Linked DNA regions of Arabidopsis thaliana. The protein of the gene in region 2 interacts with the protein of the main gene of each other region in a pairwise test. Each region holds a gene or a part of one and is shown on either strand. Other genes may lie near its edges.

Region 1 (7,016 bases), 1.2 Mb from region 2:
TCTGAAACAGATACCTTTCTTAAGTGAACCAAAGGTAACTAACTGAACCTGAACAATGCTGCAAACATGGTATTTACGGTCCCGAGGTTTGACAAGTCAATTTCCATATCCATTCCATCAGCATCGAGTGCCTAATATCATGAAACAACTCTTATTGAAGCTGTAAGAATGCATAGAGTAGCTGATAATGGACACTAAGCATACTCATTTGAGGCAACATAAGGTGTGAAACAACTCTATTCCTATTGACACTTATGAAGACCAATAAGAAACAAGTATCAATCACCTCAAATCCTGCATTGTCATAGTGCCTTCTCTTTTCAGGATCAGACAAAATGCTATACGAAAATGCAACTTCCTTGAAAAGCTCAGAAGCATCAGGATTGTTCGCATTCTTATCCGGATGATACCTATCCACAATAATGTATAGGCATTAGTATACAATAGATTCTTCACATATCAATCTCACTGGAAACAAAAATTGACATGGCTAACGAGTTCAAATAGGAACAATTCCAGATTTTTCAATATAACAAACCAGAAACCCTAAGAAATTGGATTGAAGACGATGAAATTGAAGCAAAATCAGTTTTGATATCGTTATAATCGGAAAATTTTGGCTTACTTGAGAGCTAATTTTCTGTAAGCGGATTTGATTTCTTGATCATTAGCGTCCTTTGATACACAAAGGACCTCGTACGGATCCCGTCGATTCGCCGGAGCCGACGAACCTTCAAGCTTTTTCGCGCTCATCTTCTCGAAGAATTTGAAATCACAAATGTTCAAATTCGAAGGGGAATTTGCAGATCCAACAGCGGCGGACCTAGAATAACGCGATTTCAGGTATCTTCAATCGAGAAATTGAACGAATTTGAAACCTCGGAAAAGAAACGATGAAGAAAGGAGGATCTAAAAAGCTCACAAAATAAGAGAGATTGGGGAAGAAGAAGATCGAGGAAAAAAAACGAAACAAGGGTTTCCGAAAAAATAAAAGGTACTATTAAATTTATTTTATTCGTTTTGGACAAACTAACTCGTTGATTTTTCATATTTAATTCGATGACTTTTTAAGGAAATCGAAAATTACTGATTTTTTTGTGGCCATTACGAAGTTTTATTATAAGAGTGATTATATTATTATTGATATTATTTTAATAATATCATTTGTGATATGGTAAGTCAAAAATTGAATTTTTGTAGAAAATGAATTGGAATTATGTTTTGGGTCACATAAATATATGTAAAATTGAATTTGAATGAATAAAAAAAAAAAAAAAAAAAAACTAAATATAGCAAAATGGAATAATCAATATGTAAATGGGGAAAAAATCAACAATTGTATAGAAAATTTTGCCATTGGTGGTGGTGCTTCTCATTAGGTTCTTGCTTTTTGTGCTATCTTTTTAGGTGTTTCTCATACTAGAACATGCTTGATTAAGATAAAATCTTCACATTTCTGTTACTAATAGTGTTTCTCTTGTCGAACATTTACGACTTTTGGCTTGAGAAGGTCTTGTTTATATGTGGTTTAGCCTTTGTTTCTGTTTCTACAACTTGATAAATTGCGTTTTGAGTGTTGCCCAAAAATGGATGTGTATTGAGCTGCTTAATTAAGATCTTCTTCACATTTCTTGGTGGTAGTAGTGTTTTCAAGTGTTTCTTTGGTTAAACATTTGTGGCTTAGTTTCTATCTCGCTTAAGAAGATGGGAGAAGGAGATTAAATATCTGACATGACTTTATTCTTCTTTGAGTATTCAGGTGTCTAGGCAAAACTTTTAGTCCTATTAGTAGCAATTTGTTCTTTTTTTTCTTTTCCTATTTTTCTCTTCTATAAGTTCTTACCATATGAGTATACATTGTCTGCAGAGTTAGGTGCTAATATGAATGGATACCTTCTCATAAATGCTAATGGAGGACTAAACCAAATGAGATTGGGGGGTCAGGCTTTTGTGTTTTCTCAATGTTTCTCAAGTTATCTTCTGTTTATAACTTGATGACAGGCTAGTTCCTAACTTTATCAAGGACTTTGATTAATCTCACATCCCTAGTACTGAAAGTAACTTGTTAAGCACACACTGTATATTTCACTTACTTAAAGAAGATTTGGTAGTTAAACCGATTGCATCTTTGTTTTTGGACGAAGGGGGAAGAGAGTGATCAGAAATACATGACGATAGATGCTAACCGGAGTAACTCATCCAAAGCAGTCGACGAAAACTTGCGAGCAAAGAGAAAGCAAAGTCTCATCTTATTTTCTCCATTTTTCTTACAATCACCAACACTCTTCATCCTTAGCCACTCCAAGAACTCCACATTAACCTCCCACTCACCAAACAATCTCGGGTGAGCCCTACGCTTGCTCCAGTCAGTCCAAGTAAGCGTCCTATTCGCGTTACGCAACCCAAGGCTCGGCCTCATGTTGAGTAGCGTCGGGATATAGTGCTCGTCGGGGCAGCGAGAGTAAGCTTTAAAGATTGGCCAGTAGAACGTATCAGAGACTACCTCGAGGGCCATGGCTCGGTCTAGCTCGAACCACTGAGAGCCTTTTCGCCATTGGTGCATGCGGATGTGAGGATACATGCGGCGGTCATAGCGGACGCGACCGATTGTGAGGTCGTAGGAGTCGACGTGGGTTAGAGTGGAGTCGATGAGGAAAGAGTAAACTGTGGAGAAGTTGAAGAGAGGGATGCATGATTCGGAGAGAAGAATGAAACGTTCGTTGTTGATGTCTAATAAAGCGTTTGCTAATAACCTTCGTTCTGCTTCTACCATGTTTGCGTTTCCCCAATCCACTCTCTGCATACGTTTATAGTTAATGACATTGGATTGATTTTATTTTATGTATTATAGTGTAATAATTAATATGTTTTCTTTTAAGATACCAAATATTCTTATATTTTTATGTAATTTACTAAAAAAGATAGGAAAAATATCGTATTCATGTACTTCGATCCGTTATATATATATATATATATATATATATATTATTTATAATATATTTATAAATTTTATTTATCACGTTAATTCCAAACCTATTAATGTATCGAAATAAATTTCTTAATAATTTGGGAAGCTGACCTTGCTTGGAATACGGCGGCCATAAAACACAGAGTCTTGCGGCATGAACTCGTCGTAAGACGAATTGGTGTGAACGTAGATAGTGAAAAGACCTTCATGACCTCGAAAGAACCTTTCCCATAGAGGAGCCAAAGGTAAAGGTCCCCAAGTCAAGAACATGAAAGCAACCTTCGGGATTCTAGGATAAGGGTAATCCCTGATCTTAGGATCCATTGAAGCTCTCCACAGAAGTTCATTATCTTCCATATCGTGCATGATGTTCTTCAGTGGTATCAGAAACATGTCAAGCCCATTGTCCTGAAATGAAGGAGAAAGAATAGGAGGAGGAGGGGTTACAAAGAAGAGTTGGGAGACACTTTGGATGGTTAACGAAGAAGGCGAAGATAATCCTTGTAGAGAGGGATAAACAATGATTCCAACTATCACGCCGATCCAGAGGATGAAGAAATACAAAAGGAGATTGTGGAAATGGTGGAGTAGTTTCTTGAGAAGCTCTATCACTTGAGATAATGGTGAGTTTTGGTCCTTTTGGGTCGGCATTTCCAACTACCGATACATGTGTAAGAGAATTCTTGTTTCCAATGTTTTAAGGGTTAAAAAGAGATACATGGATCTTACTTCCTAGTTGGAATGAGGTTAAAAAGTGGAGAAGAGCAAGTAAAAGTGGAGATCTTGTGGCGTGAGTGATTAACTCGTAAAAACAAAAATACACACGCAATGGAATATAACATTTTGAGGCAGTTTTTTGATGATCCAAGCAAAGTCAATTGGGTTATATACGTAGCATCTTATTACTACTCTTTCACTAGCATTAATTCTTTAAACTAAAATTACAAATTTCCTTACATCAATATTAATTTACTTTTTTAAAAAGATTGATAGGAGTAGACTAACCAATCTTTGTCTTTGAATGAACTATTTCGCTATATGTCCATGCAATATATATTTTTTTAAGTTCGTTTTCCCAAAATCATATTTCTTTGTTATAAGTGGATATAATATTGATGGTGGTTTAAATGTTTTACTTGTAGTTTCGCTATATACTTTTTTTTATCTCTTGGTCGCATGTTTAAGTTTATTGCTTTTACTTATTAATATACCTTATACCTATATGATTTATCATTCTTTCGTTTTTGCTCATAAGTTTATTGCATACCTTGTCAATAATATACATTATTTTCTGGTAATCGTTCACAAGACATCCTTGAAACCTCCACGTTTACATTGCTTAACGCTTGCAACAATTTCATTGTATATATAAAAAAAAAGATCGTAATGAAAACAATATGAAGCTTATATATATATATATATATAGCACTACAAGTTAAACCTAATTTGTTTTTTTTTATAACTACCGGAGTGACTTTATCTACAAGAATGAAAATGACGCAGCCATAAAAGCAGGATCGTGTAGATTGCTATTAAAAACCTAAGTGAACAAAGATGTGAATTTCATTTACTCGATGTTTATAGTATGCAATAGACATGGTACCAACTCTTACAGATAATATATTCAACCGCGTAGACATTAAATCAAGAGGTAAACTGGAGAAACAATTACATACGTGGGAAATAATTTTTTTTATCGAACGGCGACCTACATGCTTTGTCTAATAGTCTTTACCAGTTGAGCTATTGAAATTGGTTTCGTATGTTTTCTCTTAGACGAAATATCTCTTTTTGTATTTTTTTATTTATTTATCAAATGAAAGTGACAAACATTATTTGCTTAAAGCTTTTGTTAGAAAATTAATCTCATGTAACTCAGATATAGGATTTTTTCATGGTTTATCTTTTACTTCTTACAAAACTGTAGATCCATGGATGCAAAAAAAAAAAAATGATCCATGAGACTATGTGAGTGAAAAGGATTTAACCTATGTAATTAAATTGAAGATTTTATATATTATGTATTTTCTACTTAAGTAATAGATTTTCGAGGGACAGTTATATCAGGCCATTCATACAAAGCCATTAGAGTATTCAAACATTAACTATATACACAGAATATAATTATAGTTGATATGAAACTAAGTTGAAGTCAACCTTGCGAATTCTAAACTGAAAGAATATTACTTTTTTGTTTGGTTCAAATAAAAGAAAATTACTTGTTGCACTATATAAATATTGATAAATAAATTGATTGGTCAAATTTACGTGTAGTTGCACATTGTTGAAAGCTGTAGGGTGAAGAGACAATAATTGTGCAAACAAGTGGCATCAACCCTGGGAATGTCATGACGTAGTGTAGGAAAAATGCATTCCATTCCATTTGGGTTACAGAACCGTCATGTTAGACGAGACTCATGCATGGTAATGATGGCTGAGTTAAAAACAACAACAAATATGTGATCATTTGGGTTCACTAGTGATACGAGAATATGCGTTTTCCATCACGGCTGCTTCCGAGAACTTTACAACAACATATATGTGATCATTTTGCTAGCTATGATACAAATTCTAGAGTGTAAAAAATAAACAAACAATAGTATCATGTATAGCTAACAAAATGATCCACAAGGTGAAAGTAGGCTAGTAACAGTGGTATTTTCTAAAATTTGAAATTTTATTGTTATTCCGAGAACTTCACAACATAACGTATGAGCCCATGGCTGGCCAAATGAAGTAATGGTTTGGAACCCATTTTATGATTTTTTTTTTTTTGTAAATATATAAATAGCTATGGTATATTTAAACAAATATGGTTAGAAGAAAAGTAACAACTACGTTTTTAATGTCGATTTTATAATATATATATATATATATATGTATAGTTATTATTTTCTTAAAACAGATATAAATTAAATTTAAATAATTATATCTATATTAAAGGGCTCTTATTTTTTTTTTGAGAATATTACACTGTAAAACACTTTTTAAAAAACATTTCCGTGGTTAGACACTTTCTAAAAAGAAGGCACTTTGAATGTATAATTTGACCAATTTACCCTCTAACCATATATCGCTTTATCTCTCTCATCCACCTATTCTTTCAAAAAATAAACAAAACTCAAGCCAAAAAAATATATTTATACCTTTTTCTTTCTTTCCTTTTCAACAAATCATCAGCTTTTATGAGAAAGAGAGATTGAGATTCACCTTCTTTAATTTTTCGCGTGTGCTTTGATCTGACTTGAAGGAAAAAAATTTCAGACCATCAATTTGAGAATCTGTCCTATCTGGCTGATTTAGTTACATGACTCGTTGAATGCTTGAATTGGATTTACAGTTTGGTTTTCGTTTTATGTTTTTGCTGTTTGTTGCAAAATTAATCTCATTACTTGCTCTTTGATTCTTTGTCTTGCTTTTCCAATTTCATATTCGAGATTATTCTCTTGAATTGGAGATTAAAGCCTCGTAGTGGACTTCGAATCGTTTGATAGTAATGGTCGAATCACTAGTTGATGGAACTCGTTGCTTAGTTCATGTTCTGTGAATTTGATTCATGATTATATTTGGGTTGTATCTTTTCAGAAAATCTGGTTATTTTATGTGTTCATCATAAACGGTTTATAAGTTTTTTGATGGTTGATTCACTTAGTGAAGAACCTTGTTGCTAGTTCTCGTTATGTGAAATTGATAGAGGTTTTAGCTTAGATCTGAAATTAATTTTCATTCACATATGTTAGATTGAATTCTACATTTGTGTTTAAGATATAGATGTTAAAAATTTGGTGCAAAATCGAGAAGATTATCTTAACACAGTTAAATGAACAGACCTCAGTGGACAACAATTTCTGGACAACGATTTCTGGACACGTTCTTCTTTACCTTTTTATCTCAAAATCCAATCGAGAAGATCATCTTAACAGAGTTAAATGAACAAACCTATGTGGACAACAACTTCTCGACACGTTCTTCCCTTGAATTTGTGATCATTTATGTTATATTTTGAGATGTTTTGTATATAAAATCAAACTTGGACTTGTATTTTAAA
Region 2 (6,414 bases):
AACGTATACCACAAACTAAAGTTCCTATATAATAGTATGAAATTAAAGGTCATGTGCCAAATAGGTTCCCATTTGACACACATGGTGGGCATAGCAAGTCAACTCTTATTAAAATAAAATTGACGTCATAACGAATCACGTGAGAATCAAAAATAGTGGTTTCCTTGGAATTTCAATCTCTCCATGCATTAAGTATGTGTACACGATGAGTGGTGATGTCTGTTTCAAATCTCGAAAATAGTTCCAAATATTAAATTCTCAAGACAACACCATTTAATTAAAAATATGAAAGTCATAATTATCCTCTAAAAAATTGTGATTCTCACTTTAGTTTACCAATCTTATCCCATGCAAAGTAAGAAGTCAAACGATAGTGGATTAGTTTTTTTTTTTTTTTGTTAATATAATCTCTAACGTAAGTATCCAGAAAAATAACAGCTAATTCTAGTCTACTATAAATAAAAAGTTGAAGCTCCTAATTAAGTGCCGTAATCAACTAATCATATGCTAAAACATCATTGACTTAGACCTAAATACGAATCTCACGCGTCATGTTCTCTATCAACTTGCCGTGTAGATATGGTTCTTATTTTATAACAAAAAAAAAAGTCATACACATTGCTCTCGGATATGAATCTCTCACGTCACTCACTAATCAACTTTGATTTTGACATACTAAAGAAAGTATGAAGTATCCACTTGATTTTGACATACTGCAAAGAAGTATCAAACCCATACACATTTATTTTTATCAAAAAAGATCGTGTGATATTAGTTTCCTAGTCTAGGTTTTAACTTGATCGGTTTTAATTTTTTAACTATTGCACATATTATATTTTTTAAACAACTATATAGTTTATTTAATTTTCATATTTTTTTTTAGAAAGCGATAAACACAAAAAAGAAGTATATACTCTGTCATTTTCAATAGAGACCTAACAGCAAAAAAGTTTTAGCCGTAAATAGAAACAAAATTAAAGACGGCGACACCAAATTCCATCGACGCGTTCACATCAACAAACAAAAAAACGTACCGCTAAAGGCGATGCCGGAGGAGGCGACGACACAAGTCTGAATCACAGTATTCTCTTGCCGTGTAAACGGTTGTTTAAGAAAACCAGCTTTATTAAGAATCTTAGTCCAACTTTTAACAAAGAAGAAACCAAGCAAACCGGCGGAGATATTCAGCGACGGAATAATCCCAGTCGTTAGATTCAGTTTCATCACCACAAAGGTAAAGAGAATCGCGAGTATGAAACTCACGATTAGAGCTCTGAACGTGAGCTGTTTTTGCCACGGCGGTGGGATTTCGTTACTCTCTTCGAAGATTCTCTCCACGGAGATTTCTTCTTCTTCGTTGGATTTAGATCCATTGTTTAGATCGTCGTCTTTCTTCGATCGTTCGACTTCCATAGCTGAGAGTTTTTGATTTGATTTGAGTCAGATCTGAGGAGGGGAACGAGAGAGGGAGAGATTTTATAGAGGAGAGGATCTGAAGAGAAGAGATCGGCGAGAGAAGAGGACGATTTTCTTGTAACTGAATGATTCTCTCTATTGTGTGAGTGAGAGAGAGAAGCGAATCTGTTTTAATATTTCTATATTTATAAGTCAAATGTGTTTTTTTTATAAATAATTAACCTACGTGCACGTGGACTATGGTGTGGTGTGTATACACAGTGTAAAATCTGAGTTTTTTCTTTGGTGTGGATTTAGAGTTAATTAAATTGATACGTAAATGGATTTTGGAATTTAGATTATGACATGTTTACGTGTTAAACGAGCCAATTATGACGGGTCGTAGATTGTATTAATCTTAACAGAATTAAGTTTTAGTTGCAAATGTGTTTTTTTGAAAAGAATTAAAATATTAAAATGAAAATACACGTAAATATTGTTTGAACATTTGATTTCAGAACAATAGTCGTTTATATAGTGAGTTGTTCTTCAAATTACTTTTAATTTCGGAGTACTTAACTATTAACCAATATTTTTTATAATTAAAGATTACAAGGGAATTTTACTTTTTCTACCACAATTTTCCCAAAAAAAAAATATTTCTATCGCTTTTCAATAGTACCAAATTATTTATGTGGAAAGACCAAAAAAAATAAAAACTATGTGTCCAAACGTTTACACCGATTTGACATTTTCATTTTTATGTTCTCTCACTACATTGTTAAAGACTCTAAACGTGAGCTGGCTTTGCCACGAAGGATGATCCTCATGGGCTCATGGCTGGCCTCAAAGATTCTATCATGTCATGTCGTGGCATTTGAGATCGTCATTTTTTTCCTTTATCGCTCTGTGACCGCTGCTAAATTTAAGTCTAACCTAGCTCTTTGTTTACAAGAAAGGAGAGGATTATTTTAAATAAGAGAAAAGTTGGAATATTCGAAAGTGTCGTGCTCTTATTCTATGGTACGAGACTATGAGTGACTAGATAGAATTTTCATTTAGATTCTCTAACCATAATAATTAGGTAAAAAAATCTTAGCTATTAATATTGACTAATAAATATAAAATGTGAAAGTTTGACTATACTATATTAATAAACAAATGGTTAACTTGATATTGACCATGAATGCATCATTAACTTGCTTAGAATAACAAAAATCTTATGAATTTATAACTACTAGAAGTTTGATTATATGCGAGGTGGGTTCAGACTATTCACATATTACACAAACTATTTGTGGTATTAGAACTTGTATAACTTGGACAAAATTCATATCAATTAACAATTAACCTATTGAAAATTAGATAAATAGAGAAATAAATCTATTGTTTGCTTATGTGAGTATAAATAATGAGATTTAGACTTAAAATAGTTAAGTCAAAATTAAATAATATTTTGGCACCTTTTATAAGAAAAGAAGATAAAAGGGACCTATATGATCAAATACAAAAGTAGAGGGGTTATTTCATAATAACACGTATCTTAGAAAATCTTTTTAATCTTCTTCGTTCACCGAATCTTCTTGGGTTAGGTTTGTCTTCAAAATCGTCAGAAGAAGAAGAAGAAGTCAAAGACGATAACAATGACGTCATCATCGTACCTCCGATTTGCGATCGCCGTCGTAGCTTTCCTCTCAATCACCACCATCACCACCGCACGTCCTTGCAAAACCTTCCTAATCTCCTCATATTCCCTCTCAATAACCCCAGAAAACCCTAACCTCGAATCCGATTTCACCTCCACACGATTCGTCACCGTTTTCACAATCCGTCGTCTAAATCCTCACCACGTGGTTCCTTTCTTCGTCAATCGTCGTCACGAGAAGCCACAGATCCAATCGGATCGTTCCCTCCCTTTGATCTCTGATAACATCAATTCGTTTAGAGATCGAACCAGAGATATTCTTAGCGTCGTCGTCGCGCTTTTGTTCGGTGTTGGTTGTGGTGCTTTAACCGCTGCTACTATGTATCTTGTTTGGGCTCTTGTTGTGAATCGTCAAAGCTATGATTTTGAGGAAGAAGAAGATGATTATGAGAATGATGAATCTGATGCTGCTAGCTTGAAGAAATTGGGTTATGTTAAGATTCCAGCTCCAGCTCCTGCTCCTGTGAAGGAAGCTGCTTGATTTGAGGTTGTGAATTTCAGTTTCTGCATATTATCATGATTTACGTTGTTGCTTATCTATGTTGTTGCGTACAAGTAAATTCGTCTCTGTTATGGATTTATCTAAACTTACTATACTCTAAGTATCAGTGTTTTTACGATTTGTAGTTGATGTTTCTTAGATATATATAAGTGTGATTATGATGTTACCTATGGATTTATTCATTATCTTTGATACCAATGTGACTAGTTTAGGAGCTTAATACTTAAATGGATTGATCATCAAAGGAACCAAGGTCGTGACTCGAGAAGTCTGTTTCTTGTTTTCTTTCTGACTTGCTAGAACCTAACTTGGTCGCAGGATATGTGTATGGTTCTCATAGCCCCATTTTGTGGTTTAATAGCTTTCATTCTTTCAAGCACTGATTAGCTAGAACCTAAGTAGGTCGCAGGATATGTGTCTGATTCTCGTTAACCAATCTGTGTTTTGAACAGCCTTCAAGCATTGGGAGTGTCTAGTTTTCTATTGCTTATGGTCATATGTGTGTATGGTTCTCATTGCCCCATTTTGTTGTTTAATAGCTTTCAAGCATTGCATACTTAAGGTAGTGTCTAGTTTCGGTTCCGTTTCTTGTAATCTTACTGACTAGCTAGTAGCTAGACTTTTTAAGTAGGTAGCAGGATATGGGGATGACTCTGGTTGACCCCAATCTGAGTTTTGCATAGCTTTCAGAGCATTGAGAGTGTCTAGGTTCTATTGCTTATGGTCATCTGTATATATGGTTCTTATTGCCCCATTTTGTGGTTTAATAGCTTTCAAGCATTGTGAACTTTAGGCAGTGTCTAGTTTCTGTTCTGTTTCTTGTTATATTTCTGACTACCTAGTAGGTAGACCCTTTTAAGTAGGTCGCAGGATATGTGGATGATTCTCATTGATACTAATTTCTGATTTGCATAGCTTTCAAAGCATTGAGAGTCTCTAGTTTCTATTGCTAATGGTCATCGTTGTGTATGTATATAGCTTAAAGGTTGATGTCTTGGATGCAGAGGAACAATTAAGTGCCTTATTCTCTCTAGTCTAGTAGTTATTTGCCTTGTAACAATCCTTTGTTATGTTACTATTTGATTTGAGGTTGTTTTATGTATGTAAAATCCAGTACCTAATTGTCTTGGTAATAGAATCTATAGATGTCTCAAAATCGGTCCGATTTTCGATTGTCAACACAAATGGTGCAAGATTTTGCTTTCTACATATATACTCTTTTCTTAAAAAACTACCTCAAAAGAACCTAATTGTCTTGGTACTCTTTTCTTAAAAAACTACATATATATTCAAAAAAACTACCTCAAAAGAAATTGTTTATCGTTTCTTTTTCAGTATTTTAGTTATCTGATAAAATAAAATAAAATTGTTTTTGGGTCCTCCACTATACATATGAAGAAACTTGCACATCACCATTCAGTTTGGTCACATGAGTTAATATTAATGAAAGCACTCGATTAACAACAAATATCATTAATCAAACTCAGTAAATTATTTATACATAAAACGAAATTTTATTTTCAATAGAAACTACTGATGTTTATTTCTTCATATCCTAATTTGTAACCTCATATTCTTTTGGTAAACAAACAAAACCATCAAACATGCAAATAACCGTTGGAATTCTAAAACTTATTAAAAGAATTTTTGAAGAGAACCATTTTGCTTTGAAAAAGGCAAAAAGGGTCAGAGATAATACGACATTGACTGCAGTGTGTATAACGGCTCCAATTTCAAAATTACTATCTTTAATAAAATAAATTAATTCCACTTTGACCCCATTATTCTTCAAAGCTTACAATTTCACCCGACTTTTCTTAATTTTAGAAAGTAATGGGTCCTATCCGAATACTTTCTGAAATAAAAGAACTTTTGTCTGTCACAAATCGCATTACCAAACAAAAAAGTTTGAAGTTTTGAATCTTTTTGTCTTCTTACACAAAAGACATTCCCCTAAAAACTCTCTTGTTCTTGACTCACTTCTACTTCAAAATCTCTCTGTTCTTCAAAATTCTTTGTCACAAAATGGGTTGCTGTCTCAGCAAGAAACCTTCCCCTTCTCTTCCCTCTAGTGTTAAACCCTCAGATCCAATCAAACCCATGGAACCAGTGATTGAGCCTTTGGAGGAAGAAGCAAAACCCAAATCTGAGAAACTGAATCAAGAAGAAGAAGAAGAAGAAGTTGTGGTGATAAAACACACAAGAAGCCATGAAGAGAGATCCAAGAAGACAGAATCAGATAAAGATTCTCCAGTTTCTTCTCCTGTGGCGGCTGAGAAATCGAATTCTACACCGCTTGTGAGAATCTCTAGCTGTACTAAAGAAGAAGTTGATGCTATATTGATACAATGTGGGAAGCTAAGTAGAAGCAACTCTGCTGCTAAAACAAGAAGATACTCTGGTTCTAAAAGAAGCTTTGATTTTGACCAGAACGAGAGAATCCGCGGCGGCGATGCGGCGGAGGAAGACGGAATGCAGCGAAATCGTCACCGTGGAGTAGAGAGAGTGCATGGTTCGCCTCGTGAACGGAGAAGACGAACTCCGAGTAGAGAAAGAGAAAGATCGGGAAGCAGAGAAAGAGGAAATGTCGGCGGTGGCGGCGGTGGTAGTAGGAGAGTGAGTAGATCTCCGGCGAAACGTTCTGAGATTCGTAACGCTGATTCGTGTGGCAGTTCGGTAAATTCGAGTAATAATAGACCGGGAAAGTTTGTTACGATTCCTGCAACGGATAAGAGTAACAATGTAGAGCCGTTAGTAAAACGGATTACGGTTAAGAGAAACATCGGAGACGCTTGCAGAATAGCGGCGTCTC

The links. The genes of interacting proteins can lie anywhere in the genome.
Region 1: the proteins of AT1G65720 (region 2) and AT1G68380 interact in a protein complementation assay, tested with the Arabidopsis thaliana proteins (one large-scale study listed by BioGRID).

The regions. Positions count from the first base shown.
Region 1 is NC_003070.9:25,633,775-25,640,790, forward strand, and holds AT1G68380 (Core-2/I-branching beta-1,6-N-acetylglucosaminyltransferase family protein), read right to left. Parts: upstream 3,689-7,016; 5' UTR 3,620-3,688; coding exon 3,080-3,619; intron 2,798-3,079; coding exon 2,159-2,797; 3' UTR 2,064-2,158; downstream 1-2,063. Other genes in the region: ARG1 (Chaperone DnaJ-domain superfamily protein), read right to left, coding at 49-131, 287-410, 626-753.
Region 2 is NC_003070.9:24,437,638-24,444,051, reverse strand, and holds AT1G65720 (uncharacterized protein), read left to right. Parts: upstream 1-2,978; 5' UTR 2,979-3,038; coding exon 3,039-3,581; 3' UTR 3,582-4,400; downstream 4,401-6,414. Other genes in the region: YSL7 (YELLOW STRIPE like 7), read right to left, coding at 1,035-1,413; AT1G65710 (serine/arginine repetitive matrix-like protein), read left to right, coding at 5,628-6,414.